Linked DNA regions of Caenorhabditis elegans. The protein of the gene in region 3 interacts with the protein of the main gene of each other region in a pairwise test. Each region holds a gene or a part of one and is shown on either strand. Other genes may lie near its edges.

Region 1 (4,743 bases), 1.1 Mb from region 3:
TCATCAAGAATAGAGATGATACCGAGTGGTTTCTCAATAAGCTCAATACAGGCTTGAAGATCAAGTCCGAAATCGATGAAGGTCCAGGCAATTCCTTCACGCTTGTATTCTTCTTGTTCAAGAACGAACATGTGATGGTTGAAGAATTGTTGAAGACGTTCGTTGACAAAGTTGATCCAGAGCTGTTCAAAAGAGTTCAAGTCGAAGATTTCGAATCCAGCGATATCAAGCACTCCGATGAAATGCTTACGCTCAATCTCCTTTGCGTCAAGGGTCTTGTTACATCTAAAAGTAAAATAAGTAGAATAATATTTACCCTAATTAAAAATATTTGCTCTTTGTTATTTACCTGGTGATGATCCACTTGAACATACGGGCATAGATAGCCTTGGCAAGTCCAGAAACGGCCCAGTTGACCTGTTCCAAGTTCTGTCCCTTATTGACCCATTCGGTTCCGACACGGACACGTGGCTTGGTCAAAGCCTTGAGGAACTCCTCAGCTTGGATTCCGAGCATGGCAGCAGCGTTGAGAGCATCTTCCTCACCGTCTGGCTCGGCTTGCTCTTCACGTGGACGCTGCTTGAATTTCATTTCTCCCATGTGCATAATTCCAGCAGTGGAACGGTAAAGATCCATAGTCTCGTTGTCTTCGAATCCCATGATATCGAAAGCTTCCTGAGTAAGTCTCATCTCCTCCTTATCATCCATTCCTTCGATGGTAAGCTCGGCCTGCGAGCAGAAGTGATAGTAAGTGATGTCGTTGCTAAGCTTAAGCTTTCCACGGAGACTTGGATCGTTTCCAGACATAATCTGGTAGAAGATGTGATAACAACGCTCTCCTGGTGCCTGACGGACGACACGAGATTTTTCGAGAAGATCTGAAAATATTTTTCTTTTTTGAATGGTTTCACTAGTTTCAATTTAAATTCCTCCAATCTCATTTTTTCTTAAAAACTAATCATAAAAGATCACTCACAGTGTTCAATATCTCCTCCAGCCAACTTTCCAGATCCAGAGAAATGAGTTCTGATGAACTTTCCGAAACGGGAAGAGTTGTTGTTTCTGACAGTTTTAGCATTACCGAAAGCCTCCAACACAGGGTTCGTTTGCACAATTTGCTCTTCAAGAGTACCTCCCTTCTTTCCATCCTTGGCTTCTTTGCCGGAAGCAGCTTGCGTGGCTCCAACAATAGCGAAGTAGGAGATAACCTTCTTGGTGTTCTCAGTCTTTCCAGCTCCAGATTCTCCGGTGATGAGCATAGACTGGTTCTCCTTGTCTGAAATTTGAAAAATAAAGTTCTAAAACAATTAAATTTTCACATACCTTGAACCATGTTACGGTAAGCTTCATCAGAGACAGCGAACAAATGAGGTGGCATCTCATTACGTCTCTTTCCCATGAAGTGCTTGATTACAGATTCACTGTAGATTGGAAGACGTTTGTATGGATTGATTACAACACAGAAAAGTCCGGAGTATGTCTGAAAATTAAGTCGGTTCAATTTTTGAATAGTATTAATTTTTTTTTTGAATAGTTTCAATTTCCTTACGTAAATCATCAAATCCTTGTAACGATCCTTGAGATTTCCCAAAACAGAGGCCTCATTCAAAAAGGTCAAGTTAGCCATATCCTCGGTCTTGTCGAATTTTGGCGGGTTCATCTCTTGGCATTGATCTTTTTTGACGGTAATCTGGTTTCCCTTCACAGTTACCACGGTCACCTGTTCGCCGGTGGTGGATTGGATCTCGGCGGCGACGAATCCTGAAATTTAATATTAGCCTCCAAGAAATATATGTTTTGTCGCATGCGGCTGATTAAAATCAGAATGTTTTATTCGATTATGTCATTTAGTTTTTGTTTCTGTACAAAAATCATTATTGTGAGATTTATAAGTTATAGAACAATCTTTTCTTTTTCATTTTCAAATTTAGTATTTTTGATTTAATCCTAGTTTTATTTGTCATCCTCGAATAATAGATCTGGTCAGAATTACCATTTTATTGACCTTGACTTTTTAAATTCCGATTTCATATCCACATTTCAATATTAAATCTTCAAAACATGTACATATTGTTGTCCATCCATAAAATGTGGGACGTCAAATATCTCAATCTTAAATTCCAAGAAATCTCATCATCTTTCCTGCCAACAGCAGAAGCCGCAGTTCAAACGGCAGGAGAAGCTCTTGCTCCGGCTTCATAGCGTACGTGTGTGCCTGCCCGCTTCTCCGGAAAGATTACAAAGTGCCGTTGTGTGTATGTGTGTATGTGCTTCATCAGATGACCGAGAGATGAGAGAACCTCAGATGTTCAAAAATCCGCCACCACTGGTTGCCCGGCGGGGTCGGTGGAAAGTGTGATGTATCATAGATAAAATGCAGATCTGAGAGACACAGATGAAAGCGTAGGAGAGTAGGATGAATGTGGACACTGGCGATGAGAGAGAAGGTGTAATAATAGTTTTTGTTAATGGAATGGACATAATGAAAGTTAGCTTGAATTGGTTTGGTAAGAATTAGGAAATTGAACAAACAATATCAAAGCAAGAGTTTTAAAGTGTTTTTTGATTAAGATGTTCTGTTTAGATCAAATGAAAAATTTGTATCCAAATTAGTTTCATTAACAGAAAAAAAGTATTTACAAACTTAACCATCATAACTCTTTGCAATACCACTATTGTAACCCTTACATTTTTAGCGTTGACAACTGATTTCTAAAATTAGAACATATCACAGTTACTATTAAAATTATGGGAAAATATTCTTGCCAAATATTACAGCACGTGGTTCAAAATTTTTCTTTAAAATTTTCAATTCGAAATCAAGACTTACCATCTTCTGGATCCGGAATCCAGCAGTTCTTCTTGGAATCAAAAGGACGAGCAGCAGTGGCAGCTCTGGCCTCTCTCGAGATTCCCAAGAATGGGAATCCTGGATCATTTTCGAATGCGTCTGGATTTCCAGACATTTCTAGATGGATCTAGTGGTCGTGGGTTTGATGGCTCCCTGCCCTGAAAATTAGACGGTAAAAGTGGAAGAAGAAGCTGGTTGACAAGCAAAGAATCCAAACGAAATGTGAGAAACAATTGAAATAAAATAGGAAAAAGAAAAATGGAACACTGCTTTTCAGAGATAAAAAAGTTATAGACATTGCTATAAGTTTTTGGAGAACAATGGTAAAGCGTGGTGAGAAGTTTTAGGTTTCAATGGGATTTGAAAGATGAGAGAAGGTATTGAAAAGGGACCTCAATCATCTTTTTGTGCCGTTTTCATAGCATCAAAAACCAGAAGCATGCTTCTTCTTCTTCTTCTTCTTATGTTTCTTCTTATCCTCCCACTCCGGTAGGCTCTCCTCCAATATCAATTGAATTGTATTGAGCCTTCGGAGCGAGTTGTGGGGGAGCAACAGAATCTATACAACACGCACACACATCATCGTTGAAGATAAAGAAGAAGAAAACGGAATCCCGGGAGCTATCCCGCCCTCTCTGCACTCTCTCTCTAATATTCTATTCTTGCTCTTCTATTTTCACTTCGGGAGCCCAACCAACACCTACCCTCCTTCGTTTTCCGATGAACTTGTGTTTAGAGACATAGAGATATCAGAGAAGGGACACAAATTTTGTTTTTAACAAATCGCCGAGAAATTTGAAGAAAGGTGATGAAAAACTGGGTGCTATTGTTAGCCAGTGGGGAATGTAACTGGGAATACCCTAGGGTTATGAAACTTTTCAGTTCTTACACAGGTAAAGCTGGATTTTCCAAATCATCAATCGGTTCCTCTGCAGTCTCGATTAAAATATTTGATATTTTCGTCAGGGATTTTGAAGACAAAAAGTTACTTTTTTCAAAAAAATGTAAAACTGTAAAAGGTAAAAATTTAATAGTTGGAAATATGTGATAACAGAGACGTTTACCTGATGGCAGGAGGTGTGATCCATTATATTCCATTATATTCGCGCACTCTTAACATTACACTAGTGCTATCTGAACAGTTGCGAAGAAGATCACAACAACAGTTTCAGATTTCAAGTTTTCCTGATTGCGCACCGTGTTGTTCATTTAACCATGTTTAAAATTAAATATGAAATAAGGTGCTTTGAATAATTTTTAACGATGCTTGAAAAATAACTTCTTCTACAAAAATGGTTAATTTCTATGTACAATTTTTCTTTTATAAATTATACTGACTCTCAAACCCATTTTTCTGTTCTTTGTTTTCTGTTTTTCATATTTTCTCGACTTGACTGTTTTGCACCCCCTCTGCAATCATTTTTGTTGACCCATACGTTGCCATCACGTACCAAGTCCAAGCTATGGTATCTGTTAGCAACAGTTGTCACTAATCACATGGCTCTTTTTCTCTGTTTTTATTCATTTTCTTCAGTATCTCGTGAAGAAAACAATGTGTTGATTGGTCTTTCAATTCTTGCAACAGATGCATTAGATTCAGGGCGCCGGAAGTGCAAGAAGTGGGCGCTAGTGAAGAATTGAAAAATATGCCAAACATCTGGATAAAAATAAAAAATTAACTTGCAGATAAAGAAAAAACATTGTGGTTGATCAGAAATGATAATTGGTTGGAAGCCAAACTTTAACGTTGGTTGACCAAAAATACATTGAACTAATTGGGTTATTCGTGAAATTAAAACGTATATTTCAGTGCACTTTTTGACTAATTGTAACCTGAAAAATATATATGTATTCCAGAACAGTTTTTGACCTTCTTACTCTTAGAAATCTTA
Region 2 (7,702 bases), on a different chromosome or scaffold from region 3:
TATTAGAAAAATCTGAAAACTCACTGACATTTTGCGAAAAATTCCGAAAATTGGTTAAAAAATTTTTTTAAAAAACCTGGAATTTTCCAAATTTTTTTTTCTAAAAATTAAAAAATTCCGAAAAATCCTTTAAAATTTCTTACAGGGACCCTCACTGACTCCGCCCATTCGAAACTACGAGGCTCCGGACGGCGACTACATTGATACTACGAGAAATTGGGCATCTTAGAGCCGAAAATTGTTGATTTTTATGTGTTTTATGGGTATTTTTGTTGTAGACAGTGACATAGGATGACGCATTAATAAAGGAATTATCGATTTTTATGGAAAAAACTAAAAATTTCAGTGAAACCGAGCTGGAAAAAATAAATTTGCCACTGCGGGGATCGAACCCAGGCCCTGTGATTGGCGGGCGAGGTCACTAGCCACTAGGCTACACGTGCAAATTTTTGGCAACTGATTATTTGGATACATGAAACTTACTGCAGCGAACTTTTTTGTCGAAGAGTGTTTGCGTACAGTAATCCTTACATTTCATAAGATTTTATTGATTTTTTCATAAATTGAGCAATTTTTTTTGACAGTTTAACATTTAAAATTAATATATAGACGGAAAATGCGATGGGGCTGGACAAGGAGCAGGCACTTTTGATGTAAAGCTTTGATAAATTGAATTTTAAAAAAATTGTTGAAAACATTAGAAAAGCAAAATCGATAAATCATAATATCATTCTCTCTAAAATCGGAATGATTTGATCAAAGTTTGGCCGACGTCCCGGGTCCTCGTTCATGCAAATGTTCATCAAACGGTTCATATTACGGGCGATTCCAGGGGGAATGTGCACTCGGAGACCTTCCAGAGCGATCTGAAATTAATAAATTTGGATTCAGCGTGAAATTTGGGTCTGGAAACGCTGATTTTGGAGGTGTAAGGGGTACTGTAACCCTAAAAGTACGCAAACACTGAATCTGACGACGACTTGCAGAAAAGCGGTGGAAAATGAGTTTTTTGAGTTTATTGAGGTAGAAAGTGACGGGAAATTCAAATTTTTTGATAAAAATTATATTTGATCAAAATTATACGAAGAAATTCGAATTTTTTGACAAAATTTCAGAAAAAAATTTTGATTTTATCTCAAAATGTCAACAAACTGTGGTTCAATTCGAATTTCTCGCAAAATTTTGAGCGTGGTCAGTCGTTACTAGACGTTTCTATTCCATTTTCAGGGCTTTCGGGGTACTGTAGTCTCGGAAGTACGCAAACACCGAATCTTACGACATTGAGCCCAAACGAGCTAAAAAATGTTGTCACGGCCTGTTTTGAGCTTCTGAGTTTGAATTTAAGAATGAACACTTTTGAAAAAAATAATAGAAAAACAATTTTTTTTGGGCCAAAAAAAAATTTTTTTCCAAAATTTCATCCGAAATTAACTGATAGATTAATTTTAGGATTTTAACATCATTTTTCACACTTTCAGCCCTCCAAAAACCCTCCCTTACCTTCATTCCGCATTCCATTGGCGGTAGATCAGAGAATGGGACCTCACGAGTGTTCAGCTCCCACAACAATATAGCAAATGACCACATATCGGCAGCTCTAATATTCAAGTCTTCTGGAGCCCGTGACAAGGCTTCTGGGCTCATCCAGGCAGGCGAATAGGCTTTTCCGACCTCTTGGAACGAGAATTTCGTATCTGCCATTGAGAGTTTGGCGGTGAGCTCCTCGTCGACTACAACGTGTTTGGAGGAGAGGTAGAACCTGGAAACTGGGCTTTAGGCTTATGATAGCTTAAATTATCTGAAACTCTAAAATTAGTTAAGAAACGTAAAAAAATGGGGGGAAAATTAAAAAATTAAAAAAAAAAAAAAAAAAAATTTTTTTTAAGTTTTTTTTCGAGTAGTGCCCCAAAAACTCTTGGATTCCTGAAAACAATTTTTGAAAATTTTTGTTGTAGCTACTTTTCGAAGAACATTATTTCAGGCACATTTTAAGCCAAAAACCGTTTGAAAGTATCAAAAACTAAAAAAGTTATGAACTTTTGAAATTTGGAAAAAAAAATCCAAATTTTTTTAAAAACATAAAATTCAAATTTTCCCGCCAGAAAAATGGGCGGAGCCTATAAAAATTTATACTTTTCTGGGAGCTCTTTTTAAGCTCCATTCAACCACACTAACCTCAAAAGCATAGGGTCCAAACTGTGCAAGTAGCTCATTCCTCTAGCAATGTCCAACGCGAATCTGACGGCTTGCCCGTGATCAATGACGACAGCTGCAATATTTTATTGATTTTATTAAATTATTTCAGCGATTTTTCACAAATTAATGTCAAAATCTAATAGATCTCGTTAAGAGCTTTCAGAAAAGTATAATCATGCCTAGGCTCCGGCCATTTTAGCATGAATTCGAGAATTTTTGGGTCTCGCCACGAAAACTGTTGGGTTACTGTAGATAAGTTATCTAATATGATATTGATAATTTTACTAAAAAGACAATTTTTTGAGTTATCTGTGCGCAGTATTTTAACAAAAAATCTCAAAAATTGGGAAAAGTACAAATTTTGAAAAAAAAAAATTTATCAAAAAAAAATTTTTTTCTACTTTTTCGAAATCAAAAAAAAAAATTTTCAAAACATTTTCTAGGACTAATTTTTGCGCCCTTTTCAATGAAAACCTTCAAAACTCACAACTTTGCTCGTGGAGCACGTTATACAGGCTTCCAAATGGCATGTACTGCGAGATGATCACCAAGTTCGGTGGCTGGTTAGCCGCGGCGAGCACCGCACAAATATTCGGATGAGCAAAAATACGAAGAGCCGGAAACTCGGTCTGGAAGTCACGTGAGATACGGGCGGTCACTTCTTGAACATTCAAAATTCGCGCCACAATATCGTTGCCCTGCCATTTTCCACGCCACAGTTCTCCGGAGTGTGATTCAGCGATCTGTAACAGAGTGGGGGTTAAGCTGGAAATTTTTGGGATTTTTAAAGTTTGAGGTAGCTTATCAAGTTCATCTTGATCTAGACTTTCAGAAAAGTATACATTTACTCAGGTCAAAAAAAATTTTTATTTCGAAAATGAAGTTTTTTTTTCAAACATTTCAAATCTTAATAACTTTGCCAATTTTTAAGATTTTTTGCAGATTTTTGACATAAAACACGTATAAAATATTGAAAAACAGTATTATTTATATTAAATAATAATATACACTACGGTAAGTGAATTCTGGAAGTTTACGTAGCGGGTTCCAATTTTCGACGAGTTTTTGAGTCCCACCGCGAAAATCCATAGTGTTAAGCTGTTTTGTGTCAATACAGTATTTTAATATTTTATTGACGTAGAACAAGTTTTTGTGCATATTTTGAGGTTAAAACCGGCTGAAAATCTCAAAAACAGTCAAAGTTATGATTTTTTCAATGTTTGAAAATTTTCCTTAAAAAATTTTTTTTTTCGAATTTTTTCAGAAACTTCGAAATTCGCGGAAAATTCCCATCCTTCAACGATTGAAACTAATTTTTTACGCTGAATTTGAATTTTTAAGTTATTTTCCACTGAAAAAATCTATAACCCACTTTAGTGATCAAATTCAGCGAGGAGACGTCGACTCCGGTGTAGCGGGACAGTGTGGCGTCCCGAGTACGGGACTTTGTACCCTTCCATGTGGTATCCTTGAATGGTACACGGTCATTTGGAGATTGTCCATGTTCTTGAGCAATTTCTAGAAAAAATCGATAATTTAAAAATTTATTAGAAAAAAGTCATCCCAAAAAAAAAACTTTTTGCGAGTCAAAAGTCTTTGCTGAAAAAAACATTAAATTTTTGTACACATTATTTTTAAGTATCAAAATTAAATTTTGCTCACCAAGAGCTTTCTGAAAAGTATAATCATGCCCAGGCTCCACACAAAATGAGCATTGCCCAGAAGACTTCAGAATTTTTGGGTCTCACCACGAAAACTTATAGGGTTACTGTAGTTTATGTTTTTCAATTTTTTAAGTTAATTTACCAAAAAGCTTGATCTTTTAGACTTATTTTAACGTTAAATTAAATCGAATCGCTTGAAAACTAAAAAGTTATGAGTTTTTGAAAAGTTGTAAAAATGTTGAAAAATGTTTTTTTTTTCAAAAAATGCATTTTTTCTTCTAAAAATCTTATCTATATGTTTTCCGACTAAAAAAATTCAATTTTCAGATTAAAATGCACAAAAAACTTACCCAAAATAGTGTTTTTGCACATTGGCTGGCAAACGTCCAGTGGGGTCATTCCCTTCTTGTTGCACACGTTGACAGCGGCGCCGCAGGAGATTAGGTCCTGAAGTTGTTATTTTGCAAGAAATCAAGGTAATTATTAACAAATTCAAATTCAGCTTGTTAAGAGCTTTCAAAAAAGTATAATCATGCCCGGGTTTTGAAAATTCTACAAATTTTCGATAAATTTTTGGGTCCCGCCACGAAAACTCCCAGGGGCTACTGTAAATAGGGACTTTTTGTGTTTTTGGTATAATAAATTGAAATTTTAAAATATTTAGGACGCAAGTATGAAAACATAAAAAAAAATAGCCAAAAAACTTCCAAAGTTATAAAGTGTTGAAAAAATGATTTTTTTTTCAGAAATTTTTTCCGGCAAAAAAAAGCTCAAAATTTTTGGTCAAAAGTGGGCGCATCCTTTATGAATTTATACATTTATTAAAGCTCAAATCTAGTTATATTTGATTATAAAAATAATTTCACCTAAACTATACATTTTCATTGCGAAATTAAAACTTTCCGAGAAGAACTTATTCGAAAATTTGGAAAAAAAATTTTCTGAATTTTTTGAAAAATCATTTTTTTCCAATTTTCCCAAAAAATTTTCCCAATCGAGTTTATACTTATTTTGAAGCTCTAAACAAGCTCTATTCGAATTTATCAATAAAATCACCTCAGCAATTTGTTCATATCCCCAAAAGCAAGCATAATGCAGTGGAGTCATTCCGTGCTCGTTGGTAGCGTTAACATCGGCTTTTCTCGACAAAAGCTTCACCACAATTTGTCGGTGTCCATGGGCGGCCGCCAAATGCAATGACGTGTCATCTCCCATATTCGTAGAGTTTACACGTGCTCCACGTGACAGGAGCATCTCTGCAATCGCCACGTGGCCGCCCTTCGCGGCCCAGTGGAGCAGTGAGAAGGCGTGATCGTCTCCGACGTTGAGATCGTGCTCGTGATCGTCCAACCAGACGCGGACCTGAAATTTTGATAGTAGTCTTAGTCTATAGTAAGGATTGTGATAAATCCTCTGCAAAAAAATTGGACAATTTCGGTGAAAGTTGATCAAGTTAGCATGAAAAGAAAAATCGGACAAAAATTACCGGAAATTCCAGATTTAAGCTTAAAATCTAGCTTTAAACTTGATTTTTCAAATTGGCAACAATTTTTTTCAAATTCAGCTTAATTTTAACTTTTAGAAAAGTATAAATTTGTATAAGCTCCGCCATTTTAAATAGGAATTTAAATTTAAAAAAAAAAAATTTTTAATGAATTTTTTTTTTAGAAAATCTCAGAATTTCGGATTTAAATTTAAATTTTTTTAATTGAGGAAAAACATTAACTTTCAAAAAAGTATAAATTCATATACGCTCCGCCCACTTTTCAGCGAAAAAATTTGAATTTTTCTAGAATTAAAAAAAATAATTTCCAAACATTTTCAATTTTTTTCCAAATTTTTTTTTTCAAAAACCTATACAAAATTATACTTTTTCAAAAGCTCTCATCGAGCCTAACCCCATAAAAATATTTACAAAACTCACCTGAAAAGCGTTACCCTCGCGGACCCATCCAAACACATCCTCCATTATAATGGGCACATTTGGCTTGTGCGCATGGTAATGAGTCGACAAAGACATTGTTGACTGGAAATATAAGGTTTTACGTGTGAAATAGTGTAAAATTTGAAAAAATCAAGAAAAATTGAGCAGGAACATGTAAAATTACAACAAAAAAAATCGGTGAAAATTGAAGAAAAAAACTATTAAAAAATCAATAAAAATCTCCAAAAATTTCCAAATTTTCTCAATTTTTCCAACTTTTTCCCGGGCCCCATGAAGCCCGGAATCTATAATTTCAAGCCAAAAAAGTTAGATATAAGAGACATAGACAAATAAACAATGCAATAAGTACAACAGAAAGCAGTAGAATTTTGCTGAGGCGACGGCATGGGGGGGGGGGGGTCAACATTGTTCCCCCGCTGGCCAGGCGAGATAGTAGAGGACTATGTAGGAGACGCAGAGAACAAGACGAAATTTGTTGTAAATGTATGTATTGTGGAGAGGGAGTAGTATCCCGCGCAGAGAACAAACGGCAAGCGATTGTGGGATATCTTTTCGTTGACCATTCCGTCGTCTAGAGGTTGGCTCAGAAAAAGCTCTGAAACTTCGCTTGAAATGAGCTTCTGGTCTTGAATGCTAAGAATTTGAAAAGATGAGAATTCGGGCTTTCAGAAAAGTACAAATTTGCCTGGATTTTGCCTGAAAATTTTTATCAAAAAACCGGCAAATTCGCTTCTAGGACATTTTCCAATTTTACCTTTCACAGCTAACTCCTGAAAAAGCTCTAAAATTTGGCTGAAAACGAGCTTCTGGTCTTGAAAATTCAAAATTTGAATAGGAAAATTTCCGAGCCATCAGAAAAATATTAATTTATGGTAACTTTCTCTTAAAAATTTTGAGGAAATCGTAATTTTTGCTCTGAAGCTCCGCAGCGAGTTTCAGAAGAATTACTGTAACTTGGCTGAAAATAGTTCGACAAAGTTATACCTAGTTTCATTAAATTAAGCAGTTTAAGGGTTTTCAGAATAGTATAAATTTGCTAAAAAAGCTTTAAAAAACCCCAATATTCCAAAGGACTTTTTTGATTAAAAAAGTAATTCAAAAAAAATTTTCACGTTATTTCAAAGCCCCCATCGCACATTTTTGTGCCCAAAAGATCTGTAAATTTTTCCTCTACAGCACTGAAAAGTTATGTATCAATTCCTGTAAAAACTCTTGAAATTCCTAGCGTTTTCGTGGCGGGACCCAAGTTTTTTTAGCAATTTTCTTCTCAAAGACTGGGTTTACAAAATACCTGAACCCGGAGCATAACGAAAAATTGTGAAGCTTAACAAAGTTACCACTTCACAATTGCAGCACTAAAATTCAATGACGTTTTTCAGACAAAAAACCATTTTCAGACGCTTTTCCCAAAACAGCCAAGAAAGGGCCTAACGTGGCCTAACATCCCAAAATTTTGCCACGTGGCAGAAAAATAACGGAATATCATATCACTAGAAAGTATATCATAAAATTGAGTTGGTTTTGAGGGGGCGAGAAGCTCATCGGAAGAAGGTATTCAAGAACATTTGAGAGAAAGAGAAGAGACGGGGGAGAGAGAGTGTGAAATGCAGTGAGAGACGCAGAGATTTGGTTCCCGTGGGAGTCGTGTGAGTTAGAGATAAAGAGATATGGAGAGAGATAGGAGACGCAGAGAAGCAGGGACGGATGTTGTAACACGATTCTCGGATGGAAACTGAGCATTGATGATGATGATGCCAAGGATTTTGGGGACCGGGAGGGTTGCGTAGAAAATTATTGATTTTCTGACAATTCCAGCGGGGGGAGTCGGAGTGTCCCATTTCGGTTTGATCTACGTAGATCTTCTACAAAAAATGCGAGAGAAGAGCCGCAGAGTGTT
Region 3 (4,618 bases):
GGATATATAGATATTTTGGTGATATATTGAGCAATCAACAATATAATTTCAAAAATATTTGTGCTTAAATGTCGTGCAAAGCAATAATAAGTTCACTGTTTATATGGTCAATACGACTTCACTTTTTTATTTTCTAAGAGATTTGATGGTTTGGTCATTTGTCTAGCTCAAATTCAATGTTGATTCTAGCACTTCAAAAAGTATCAAAAAATAATCAAAATATTTCTTCTGAAATTTTGTGCAAAATAACAAAGTTCAGTTATTAACAACTTGGATGTCTTTGGTGTTATCAAACATTTGGTGATGTACAAATTGAAATTTTTGGCTTGAAAAAGATTCAAGGAGCAACAGAATTGAAGTGGCAGGTTTGAATTCGAAATCAAATATAATCAACAATTATTTTTTGAAAATGTGAATATCGTTTATCTCCAAACAATTCTCGAGTGCCGGCTTTTCACCGGAGCCGCCGCCATTGCCACCCAGCAGATAACAAATATTCAAATATTTTGTATTAGAAGAGAGATTATTGAATAACATTAGTCGCAGATGTTCTCCTCCACACTTTTCCGCGCACACACATTGTGGTGTAATTGTGGCTTCTAATATTTGACACTTTGAGCATTGAATGAAGGGAGGGAAAGGACGAACAAAAAAGCATTGAGAAAATGCGGCATGATTCCATTCAAGAAAATGGGCCGAGAAATATCTTGACTAAAAGACATTGATGGGTATTCTAGGATTCTGAGAGAAGAAGGAAAATGGAGGGGGGGGGAAAGATGCCATCGAAAACTGACAAATGACATTTTCTGGATGGGAGGTTGTAGTCGTTGTCCAAGTACTTTGCTACACTCAATTTGTTTAGATTACGAACTCATTTACACTTGTTTTTCGTCTATACAATGAAGAAAATGTAACTTTGGGTCAATTTTTTATGGAATTTACAATTTATAAACTATAGCTACTGACTATGATCTGGCAGAATTATTTTGTGGTGCACTTTTTGTCTTCAAAATTTGGTGATGGAAAACCTTGTATTTTGAATTTCAACTAATTACACGATGATGTAACCTATGCTTCAGAAAATTCTTGAAACCAAACAAAAACAATGCAATGCAAAATGTTCATATTCTACGCAATCGGCTGATTACATAAGAATTTTCCTAATCGAAACAATAATAAAACCGTTGCCGCGTCAACATTTAAATAGGCGCGTGAATCTGCGGAAGGGCATCAAAAGAGTTTCGGAGTGTGATGATGGACATAATAAAAATCATAATAATAATAACCATACGCATGGCATCCATGAAAATGCGCATGGGTGGCGTTTGAGGTCAACTTTTGTTGAATTATTATGATGATGTGAACTATTTGGATTTATTATATAAATTCGGAAATTTTGGAATTTCGAGTTAAATGTATATGTAGGTTTAAATGATGACTTGACTAAATTGAAATAAATAATTGTTTAGATTTTGTATGTTTTCAGAAAAAATGGAATGAAAAAATTTATAAAATGGGAAAAAAAAACTTAAATGAGTGTAACAATAAAATTTGGGATATAGTGTTTTGTTAAATTAAGACTATTAACATGAATGTTGGAGGACTGTAGAATTTAGAGAAACTAAATTTTCCAAGCTCCCAAAATGCCTTGCTAAACAAAATCGCTAGGTTGTGAATAAAATATTGACATTTAGGAAGGAAGAGAAAACTAAACAAAGGATGAGGTTATGTTTCCTAAAATTGGATTTAGTATTAGGTCATGCGGATTTTGCAACAAGCGAGAAGGATATGATTATGAGAAATGAAATTGAATTGTAACAACACGAACACGTACAAAATGATAATTTGTAAACTTTTCCTCCACCTTCTCTCTATATATCTCATTTCCTCAAGTTCTCATCAACTACTAAATCTTATGAACACTTGAGGTTCCTTCCAACATATCAAACAAGCTTCTCAATAAAATCAAACAGTTTTTTTTTCTAAACAATCTCACGTTCCAATTTCTCTTTAGTAAATAATAATTGAGAGAGGGCAAAAAATAAAATAAAAACTGCGATGGTTCGATCAAAAAGAGGTGAAAATCAGAAAAGCAAATGATTCGATGTGTGTCATCTCAACTAAAGAAAAAAAGGAAACTGTAGTAAACATCGACACGTTACACGAGAGCCAGGTTAAGAGGATGTAAAACAAACAAAACAATATGTGCCTTGATGATCGGACTTGGAAATTGAAAGTTTCTTTTTTTGTATGTATTTCTAAAGTTTTAATCGGGAGATGCGAAAATTGGTCTTGTAATACCGATGTTTGGTGAGGACTTTAAATGAGTGGGTCTCAAAGTTCGGAAGATCTTGGAAAATGGGAAAAGAGTTGGTAAAAGTTTTGCAGGTGATTTTTGCATTTCGTTTGAAAAACTTCAAAACATGCTCATGAAAATATTCAAATGGTTTACTCAGTACGATATGTTCTTCCTAAATTTACCTAGATAAAATCTGAAACATAAAAATGTTATGAAAAATAAAATAAAATTTATAATTTTTCATGACCCGTTGAATATCGACTCCCCTACGAATCAAAACATGGAACAGACAGAAGCTCAGCTACGTCACATTTGAGGTCAAATTTACAAGGATTGGGTATTTATTCTTCAATGTATGTAAGTTTGAAATAGCTGGTAGGCACGAAGGCAGTAATTTTTATTCCTATATGGATTTTTTTCGAAATTTTATTCAAAATGTCGAGTTTAGGGGAATGTTTTTTTTAAGTTTTTTGAGAGTAGAAATTATTAATATCTGATAAACTTTAGCCATTTTAAAAAAATTTAGCTTGCTTTTCTAATTGAATACTACATATTGAAAACAAAAGAGAGTTTGACAAATATGAAAAAAATCGAATCACAATAAAAAACTATTTTACGTTAAAAAAAAATCACACCTTGTAATTGAACAGTCGGCTCATCGTCATTTGCACATTCAGAGAACTGTTGCTTATCTTCGTAGTAGCTGAATCTCCTGCGGAACCAGGAAAATCCAATCGACATTGCACCTTCAGAGAGAGTAAGATTTAAATCGGTAAAAGAAACGAAAGAAAATTGAAAGATTGAACGGTAAAGGAAGTTGGCAGTTTCAAAATAAATCTTTTGATTTCTTGCTTTAATCCTATTAACTGGACTTGAAACCGAAGAAATGGATACCTAGGGTAAAAACTTGAAACAAAGTTCCACAAGCAAGGTTTTTCATCAAATTATAGCATTAATGTTCCACTTTTTTGCGTCTTGTTTTCTGGTCAAATTCTATTCGGTTTCTATTCAAAGCCGATGAAACATGGGAAATTCAGAAAATTGTGGGAATATGATCGCATCGGAAATACAAGTAATTATAGGGGGATTGACCGAAGAAACGTCGCTCTAGCGTTCAGAAACCTTCTGAACCACGCGAAGGAACAAATAAATTGGCACAATAAGAAGATGTTGAAGTCAGTGAATACCAAACGGAAGATTGAAAGTGGTGGTGGTGGTAATGTAGGAATGTAAGAAAGAAGAGTCAACTTGATACTTGTGCGCAGGGTTCGTCACACTACTTGGTCCCGTATTTACACTCCTAATACGGCCCGTGCGGAGTTTTAATACCAAACGAGAGAGGTAAACTGTGTTGCCAAAGAGCAATCGGAGGAAGATGCTCCCTTTTGAATTACCGCAATTCCTTTATTAATATGATTGCTAATAGTAAGATAATTTTCAAAGACCGTCGTTATTGCTAGACCAATGCATTTAAAATTTTTGGTTGCTCATCTGAAATTAGTAGTTTATCAATTCCAAAAATTCAATTTCTTGGCTTTTCATGAATTAACTGGAATCATCGAACAAGAATAATAATAACAAAAAAACCTCCGTTCAAAATAGGTAAGTAGCTATTTTTTTAAAGGTATTATAGGCATAATAGTAATAGAAGAAAAACGGTAGAAACCTTATTTAAAAAATTGAAAATAATTGTATCAAAAGTTATAAAACTAGTTTTTTAACAACTGTATTCTTAGAAAAAAAGCTATCCACCTCTAAACGGTCTCCACAGAATAAAGAAGAACAAGCTCATCTTCACCAAATGTTTATTGCCTTGTTTCGGTTTCGGTTCAGTTTATAAGTGGTTGGAGGATTATCGGAAAGATTCACTAGTTCTATATTCTGAATAAGAAATGTGCAAATAGATGAACAACTCTTACGGACAGAGTTCATGAATGAGGGCAATGCTGGAAAGTGTCAATAATGCTTATCAGCTTATTTTACGTTTTTTGGGCTGATGTTAAACCCTTTTTTTAGAAGTACCATTTTTGAATAGATGAACGCAATAAAAAATAATTTTGTGGGGAATACCAATGATATATTTTTTTAGAAAAGTAGTAAAATTATGTAGCATGTTCACCATTTAAAATAATTTAGTTTCGGGATTGCCAACTTTTTGCAAAGTTGAAACAAAAAGAGCTCACGATTTAAAAAAATTAGGTTTTTATTTCGCCAAAAATCACTAGCCTCGAAGCCATTTAGGCAATATGAAATCAAAAACCAAAAAGTCTTTCAAATAGCAGTTCCCTATTATTTTATGTGACTTGTCAATTGGAAAAT
Region 4 (5,768 bases), on a different chromosome or scaffold from region 3:
ATATACGCTTTACATAAGTATTTAATATACACTGCTGTAGGTCTTTAATATCGTTATAAATTTTAATATACGCTATAGGTTCTTAATATACACTTTAGGTATTTTATATTCGCTATAGGTTTTTAATATACACTATAGGTATTTATATTTGCTATAGTTCTTTAATATACGCTATACATAAGTATTTAATATACACTGTAAGTTCTAAATACCCCCATAGGTTCATAATATACGCCATAGATCTTTAATATCGTTATGAATTTTAATATACGCTATAAGTTTTTAACATTGCTATTGGTATTTAATATAAGCTATACATATGTTTCAATATCGACATAGTAGGTATTTAAAATACGCTTGCTCGCTTTAGAGTGCCTAGCTCAATTTTCCACATAGTTCAGATCAGTTAAGAGAACTATAACCTTTACTATTTTAACACATAGTTTGCAAGAATTCAATGAATTTTGATGGTTTTCCCCATTATTTCACACACATGAATCTGAATTTAAGAAAATCTTTGATTATTATTAGGATTTTTTTCATAATTCGTGTATATTTTGCAAGATAACAGATAAACACACATATATATCATTACTAAACAAAATGTGTAGTGATTTAAATGAGTTTCTCAATGGAAGCTTGATGATCATCCGGAGCGTATTGCAATCCATTATACAACTTGTAGAAGCAATCATGACAATATGGCTTCAGATCATGTTCTCTGTAGGTTCCATGCATGTTGAGTGCCTTCTGACAATATGTGCACATGAAATGATAGGTATGGAATTTCTGTGCCCGTTCCGAGTTTGGCGCCAACGCTGTCAGAATCGCGCCGTCGATTTCTTCACTGCAGTAAGCGCAGACTGCGGCGGCCGGTGGCGGTGGGGAGCCGGAGATGTGGAGCGTTCGGCGGGGAGTTGTGCTTCGGGCGCGGCGGCGGCGCAGGCTATCGGTCTCCTCGGACATTTGGACTCCGTATTGGCGGGAGTAGTCGTCTGTCTCCATATTGTCGTCCTCTGCTGGAATTTTTCGAATTCTACATTTTTTGGTCCAAGTTCTGAAAACTCACGAATCTTTGGCCTCTGCGGGATTTGTTCCTCTGGTGCCGGTGTAAGTCTCAAGGTGTACTCGATTTCCTCCTTCTTCTTCTTATTTCCATCTTCACCGTCACGTCCACGTTGTCCACGACGCAAAACTTCAGTCGTGGCGTTGACATCGTAAACAAGGGCCGCCAATGTGTCGGTCACCGCGTTTTGTCCTGAAAATGGATTCGGTGAAAGTTAAGAACAGACCTGAAGCTGGGGGAGGAGGTCCAGTTGGGCCCTAAAGCTATTGTTGGAGGTCTAGGTAAGGTCTGAATTAGGCTTGAAGCTTAGAAAGGGTTAGGGAGGGTCTATATGAGATCTGATGCTTAGGAAGGGCATAGAGGGGCCTGAAGCTTGATATGGGGCCTAGATGGGATCAGGGGCTTAGGATAGGACTTGAATGAGGACTGAAGCATAATACGGAGCCTAGGTAAGATCGAAGGTTTTGGATAGACCTAGCTGGAATCTAGAGCTCAGAATATGGTCTAGAGGGGCCTGAAGCCAAGGACAACGTCTAAATGAGTCAAAGGCTCAGAATGGGGGAGAAGTGGTTCTGATGCTTAGGATAGGGCATATGTTGGATCTGATGCTTAGGAAGGGCCTTGACGGGACTGAAGCTAAAATGGCTTCTGAAGCTTACATGGGGTCTAGGTGGAGTCTGAGGCCTAGCATAGGCTTTGGATAATGTCTGAAGCATAATACGGAGTCTAAATATGATCGAATGCTATGGATAGACCTAGCTGGAATCTAGATGTGCCCTAAAGCCTAGAAAGAATTATGTAGCAGATTATAGATGCGATCTGAACCTATTAAGGGTTCTAACGAGATCTTACTCTGATCCTGTTTCAGCTTGACAAGCTGCTGATTCATGTCATCCGAGCTAACAGCTTTCAACCTTGCGGCCAGCCAATCGTCGGTCGGATCAATCGAGATTCTACCATTGACTTCCATCTCGGTTTGGAATTGACGACGTTCCATTCTCTGAAACAAATTTCAATGTATTCCCGCACAAGATCTGAAAAAATCGATACCATCTGTTCTTGTTTGCGACGAATGATCTCGGTCGTCTGCTCGACATCGTTTTTCAACGCGGTAAGTGTTCCATTAACGATCTCGTCTTCTGCAAAATGTAAGGGATAGAGACAGAGAGATTTTGATGATCTGAGAGGTTTGTTGCTTAAAAATGTGCACCACTTTTTTTTTGGGTATTTCCTTAAAAAACGGCTGCATAAGAAAGTTGGAAATGACTCTTTTATAAGCAAATTTTGAATAAAATCTGATGTTGAGAATCAAAATTTAGCTGAAAATCCGAAATTCCTGTGGGAAGGTCTAGCTAAAAAATGGCACGGAAATAAGAAAATTAGGTATAGAAATTAAGCCTAAGCCTAAGCCTGAGCCTAATCCGAAGTCAAAGCCTAAGCCTAAGCCTAAACCGAAGTCAAAGCCTAAGCCTAAGCCTAAACCTAATGCTTAACTGCTCAAAACTAGCAAATTAATAGGGACCGTTTTTGATCCAAATCGTACAATTTTTGGTCAAAATCCAACTTTTCTGATCAAAATCGGAATTGGACTATTTTCAATCAAAACTGGACTATTTTCGGTCAAAATCCGACCTTTTTAAGCCAAAAATGATAGATTTTTGGGCGAATTTTGGACAATTTTTGGTCTAAATCCGACTGTTTTCAGTCAAAATTGGTCAAAAACGTGCAATTTTTGTCAAAATCGGACTACTTTTTGGTCAAAATCAGATAATTTTTGGAGAAAATCGGTCAATTTTTGGTCAAAATCAGACAATTTTTGGTGAAAATCGGTCAATTTTTGGTTAAAATCGGTCAATTTTTGGTTAAAATCGGTCAATTTTTGGTTAAAATCGGTCAATTTTTAGTTCAAATCCGGCTTTTTTTTGTTAAAAATCGGTAAATTTTTGGTCAAAATTGGACCATTTTGGTCAAATTCAAACCATTTATTGGTAAAAACATAACAATTGTTTGGTCAAAATTAGATAATTTGTGATCGGAATGAAACCATTTTTTTGGTTAAAATTGGACTATTTTCAATCAAAACTGGACTATTTTCGGTCAAAATCCGACCTTTTTAAGCCAAAAATGATAGATTTTTGGGCGAATTTTGGACAATTTTTGGTCTAAATCCGACTGTTTTCAGTCAAAATTGGACCATTTTGGTCAAATTCAAACCATTTATTGGTAAAAACATAACAATTGTTTGGTCAAAATTAGATAATTTGTGATCGAAATGAAACCATTTTTTGGTTAAAATTGGTCTATTTTCAATCAAAACTGGACTATTTTCGGTCAAAATCCGACCTTTTTAAACCAAAAATGATAGATTTTTGGGCGAATTTTGGACAATTTTTGGTCTAAATCCGACTGTTTTCAGTCAAAATTGGACCATTTTTGGGTAAAATCCAATCATTTTCTGTTAATTTTGACATTCTAGTATAGTTAACACAAAATTTTGTTATTTTCAAAGTTAATTGAGTATTACACCTCAATTCTTTAGTTTAACATTTCCCATTAGTTTAACATACCCCCCCCCCCCCCCCCCAGAGGACCCCCTAACTTCGACTCACGTTGACTAAACTCCTCATCATTACGGAACACCTTATCCTTATTGGAATTCCTGCTCTCACTACGCCACCGGGCCACGTGGCGCTCCACAGGATCCGGAATCGCAGAGAGCCGACCATCCTGAGACGGGGTCCCGGTGCCATGTCTCTGTTGACTACTACGAGATTCCGTAGTCCATTGATAAGATTCGAATTGTTGATGGCTGGGTTGAGGGGATATAGTCATCTGGAATTTTGAGTAGGAGGAGGAGGTGAACATTTTTGGGTTTTTCTGTGAGACTGAGTAAGAGGTTAATAATGGCATTTTCAATATTTAACTAGTGTGCACCTAAATTCTAGGTGTCTAAATAAAAAAGTATAATACAACAAATAAAGAAAAAAATCGTGTTAGTTCAAATTCGTGTAAAGGAAAACGTAGAGGAAAATCGACACAGCAGTGGTACACTGATGTGTATGAAGGGAGAGGAAAGCAAGAAGCAGCAACAGAAATATATTACAACATATGCTCTCACCGGCAGAAGAGAGCAGGCTACTGCGGGGGCAGAATCTGCCCGGCAGATGATGGTGAGGAGAAGACAATGAGGAATGAGAGATAGAGACGAAGATCGAGGAGTCTACAAAGATCGATTTGTTGAAATTATTTGAATTTTTTGCTCTTTTTTTTTTGAATTTGTTACCGTGAGTTAGGGTATTAACTAGTACCATAATACTATGCACGTATACTATACGGTAATTAAAGGTGGAGTAGCGCCAGTGGGGAAATTATTAAAAACCACTCCTTTGGTCCAAAAATGACCAAATATCATGATAAAACTTTTCAAAAAATTTTTGAAAATTTTTTATTTACTGTCAAAAAGTAGTGACTGTAGTGATTACTCAGTTTTGCCACTCATTATTTTGGAGGTCGATTGATTCAAAAAAAAAAAAAAAAATTTCCAATTTTTTTAATACTTTTTAATACAATTTTGTTTAAATTATTTGAATTAAAACATTGTAGGGGTCGAAACATGCGACATTTTTATAAATTTCCTCAAAATCTCGTAGTTTTCAAAATTTTGGCAATGTGCCAAAACTTTGACCGGAAATTATGGAAAATCTAAAAAATTTTGGAGTGCTTTATTATGATATGTTTGGATTTTTTGGATTTTTTTTCTTATGATATAAGTGTATTTAGACAAAATCCCCAAAAACTGCCAACTGACAAGCAATTTGTTACACGGTCTTATAAATTTTTTAAAACAACATTTGTATATAGCTCAGGGGTGGGCGGTAATAGCAAAAAAAACTGGGCAAATCGGCAAATTTTCGGTTTGCCGAGTTGCCGGACAATTTCAATTTCGGAATTTGCCGGTTTGCCGGAAATTTTCAATTCCGGCAATTTGCGGGTTTGTCCGACTTGCCGGAAATTTTTATTTTCGGCAATTTTCCGGTTTGCCAAGTTTCCAGAATTTTTCATTTTTGGCAAATTGCCGGTTTGCCGAGTTGCCGGAAATTTTCAATTCCGGCAGTTTGCCGATTTGTCGAAAATTTTCAATTTCAGCAAATTGCTGGTTTGCCGATTTGCCGGACAGTTTCAATTTCGGAATTTGCCGAGTTGTCGAAAATGTTCAATTCCGGCAATTTGCCGGTTTGTCCGACTTGCCGGAAATTTTTATTTTCGGCAATATTCCGGTTTGCCAAGTTTCCCGAATTTTTCAATTTCAGCAAATTGCTGGTTTGCCGATTTGCCGGACAGTTTCAATTTCGGAATTTGCCGAGTTGTCGAAAATGTTCAATTCCGGCAAATTGCCGGTTTGTCCGACTTGCCGGAAATTTTTATTTTCGGCAATATTCCGGTTTGCCAAGTTTCCCGAATTTTTCAATTTCAGCAAATTGCTGGTTTGCCGATTTGCCGGACAGTTTCAATTTCGGAATTTGCCGAGTTGTCGAAAATGTTCAATTCCGGCAAATTGCCGGTTTGTCCGACTTGCCGGAAATTTTTATTTTCGGCAATATTCCGGTTTGCCAAGTTTCCCGAATTTTTCAATTTCAGCAAATTGCTGGTTTGCCGATTTGCCGGACAGTTTCAATTTCGGAATTTGCCGAGTTGTCGAAAA

Evidence for each region.
Region 1: the proteins of uig-1 (region 3) and myo-3 interact in a two-hybrid assay, tested with the Caenorhabditis elegans proteins (one study listed by BioGRID).
Region 2: the proteins of uig-1 (region 3) and pat-4 interact in a two-hybrid assay, tested with the Caenorhabditis elegans proteins (one study listed by BioGRID).
Region 4: the proteins of uig-1 (region 3) and unc-95 interact in a two-hybrid assay, tested with the Caenorhabditis elegans proteins (one study listed by BioGRID).

Annotation. Positions count from the first base shown.
Region 1 is NC_003283.11:12,231,335-12,236,077, forward strand, and holds the start of myo-3 (Myosin-3), read right to left. Parts: upstream 3,010-4,743; 5' UTR 2,967-3,009; coding exon 2,831-2,966; intron 2,447-2,830; exon of another isoform or gene 2,311-2,446; intron 2,256-2,310; exon of another isoform or gene 2,063-2,255; intron 1,762-2,062; coding exon 1,550-1,761; intron 1,481-1,549; coding exon 1,324-1,480; intron 1,277-1,323; coding exon 977-1,276; intron 879-976; coding exon 350-878; intron 286-349; coding exon 1-285. UniProt on the Caenorhabditis elegans protein: Essential for muscle contraction. Involved in ovulation likely by regulating the contraction of gonadal myoepithelial sheath cells.
Region 2 is NC_003281.10:88,924-96,625, forward strand, and holds pat-4 (Integrin-linked protein kinase homolog pat-4), read right to left. Parts: upstream 5,887-7,702; 5' UTR 5,881-5,886; coding exon 5,785-5,880; intron 5,223-5,784; coding exon 4,917-5,222; intron 4,308-4,916; coding exon 4,211-4,307; intron 3,715-4,210; coding exon 3,569-3,714; intron 2,940-3,568; coding exon 2,684-2,939; intron 2,270-2,683; coding exon 2,176-2,269; intron 1,760-2,175; coding exon 1,501-1,759; intron 867-1,500; coding exon 720-866; 3' UTR 530-719; downstream 1-529. Other genes in the region: mrpl-40 (Large ribosomal subunit protein mL40), read left to right, coding at 146-229. UniProt on the Caenorhabditis elegans protein: Probable pseudokinase that acts as an adapter protein. Component of an integrin containing attachment complex, which is required for muscle development and maintenance.
Region 3 is NC_003283.11:13,289,353-13,293,970, forward strand, and holds the start of uig-1 (Protein vav), read right to left. Parts: upstream 3,041-4,618; coding exon 2,935-3,040; intron 1,365-2,934; exon of another isoform or gene 1,215-1,364; intron 1-1,214.
Region 4 is NC_003279.8:14,380,840-14,386,607, forward strand, and holds unc-95 (LIM domain-containing protein unc-95), read right to left. Parts: upstream 3,899-5,768; coding exon 3,676-3,898; intron 2,548-3,675; exon of another isoform or gene 2,460-2,547; intron 2,206-2,459; coding exon 2,117-2,205; intron 2,067-2,116; coding exon 1,919-2,066; intron 1,259-1,918; coding exon 1,070-1,258; intron 1,020-1,069; coding exon 616-1,019; 3' UTR 521-615; downstream 1-520. UniProt on the Caenorhabditis elegans protein: Required for the assembly and integrity of muscle dense bodies, which establish the adhesion sites of the muscle cells to the extracellular matrix.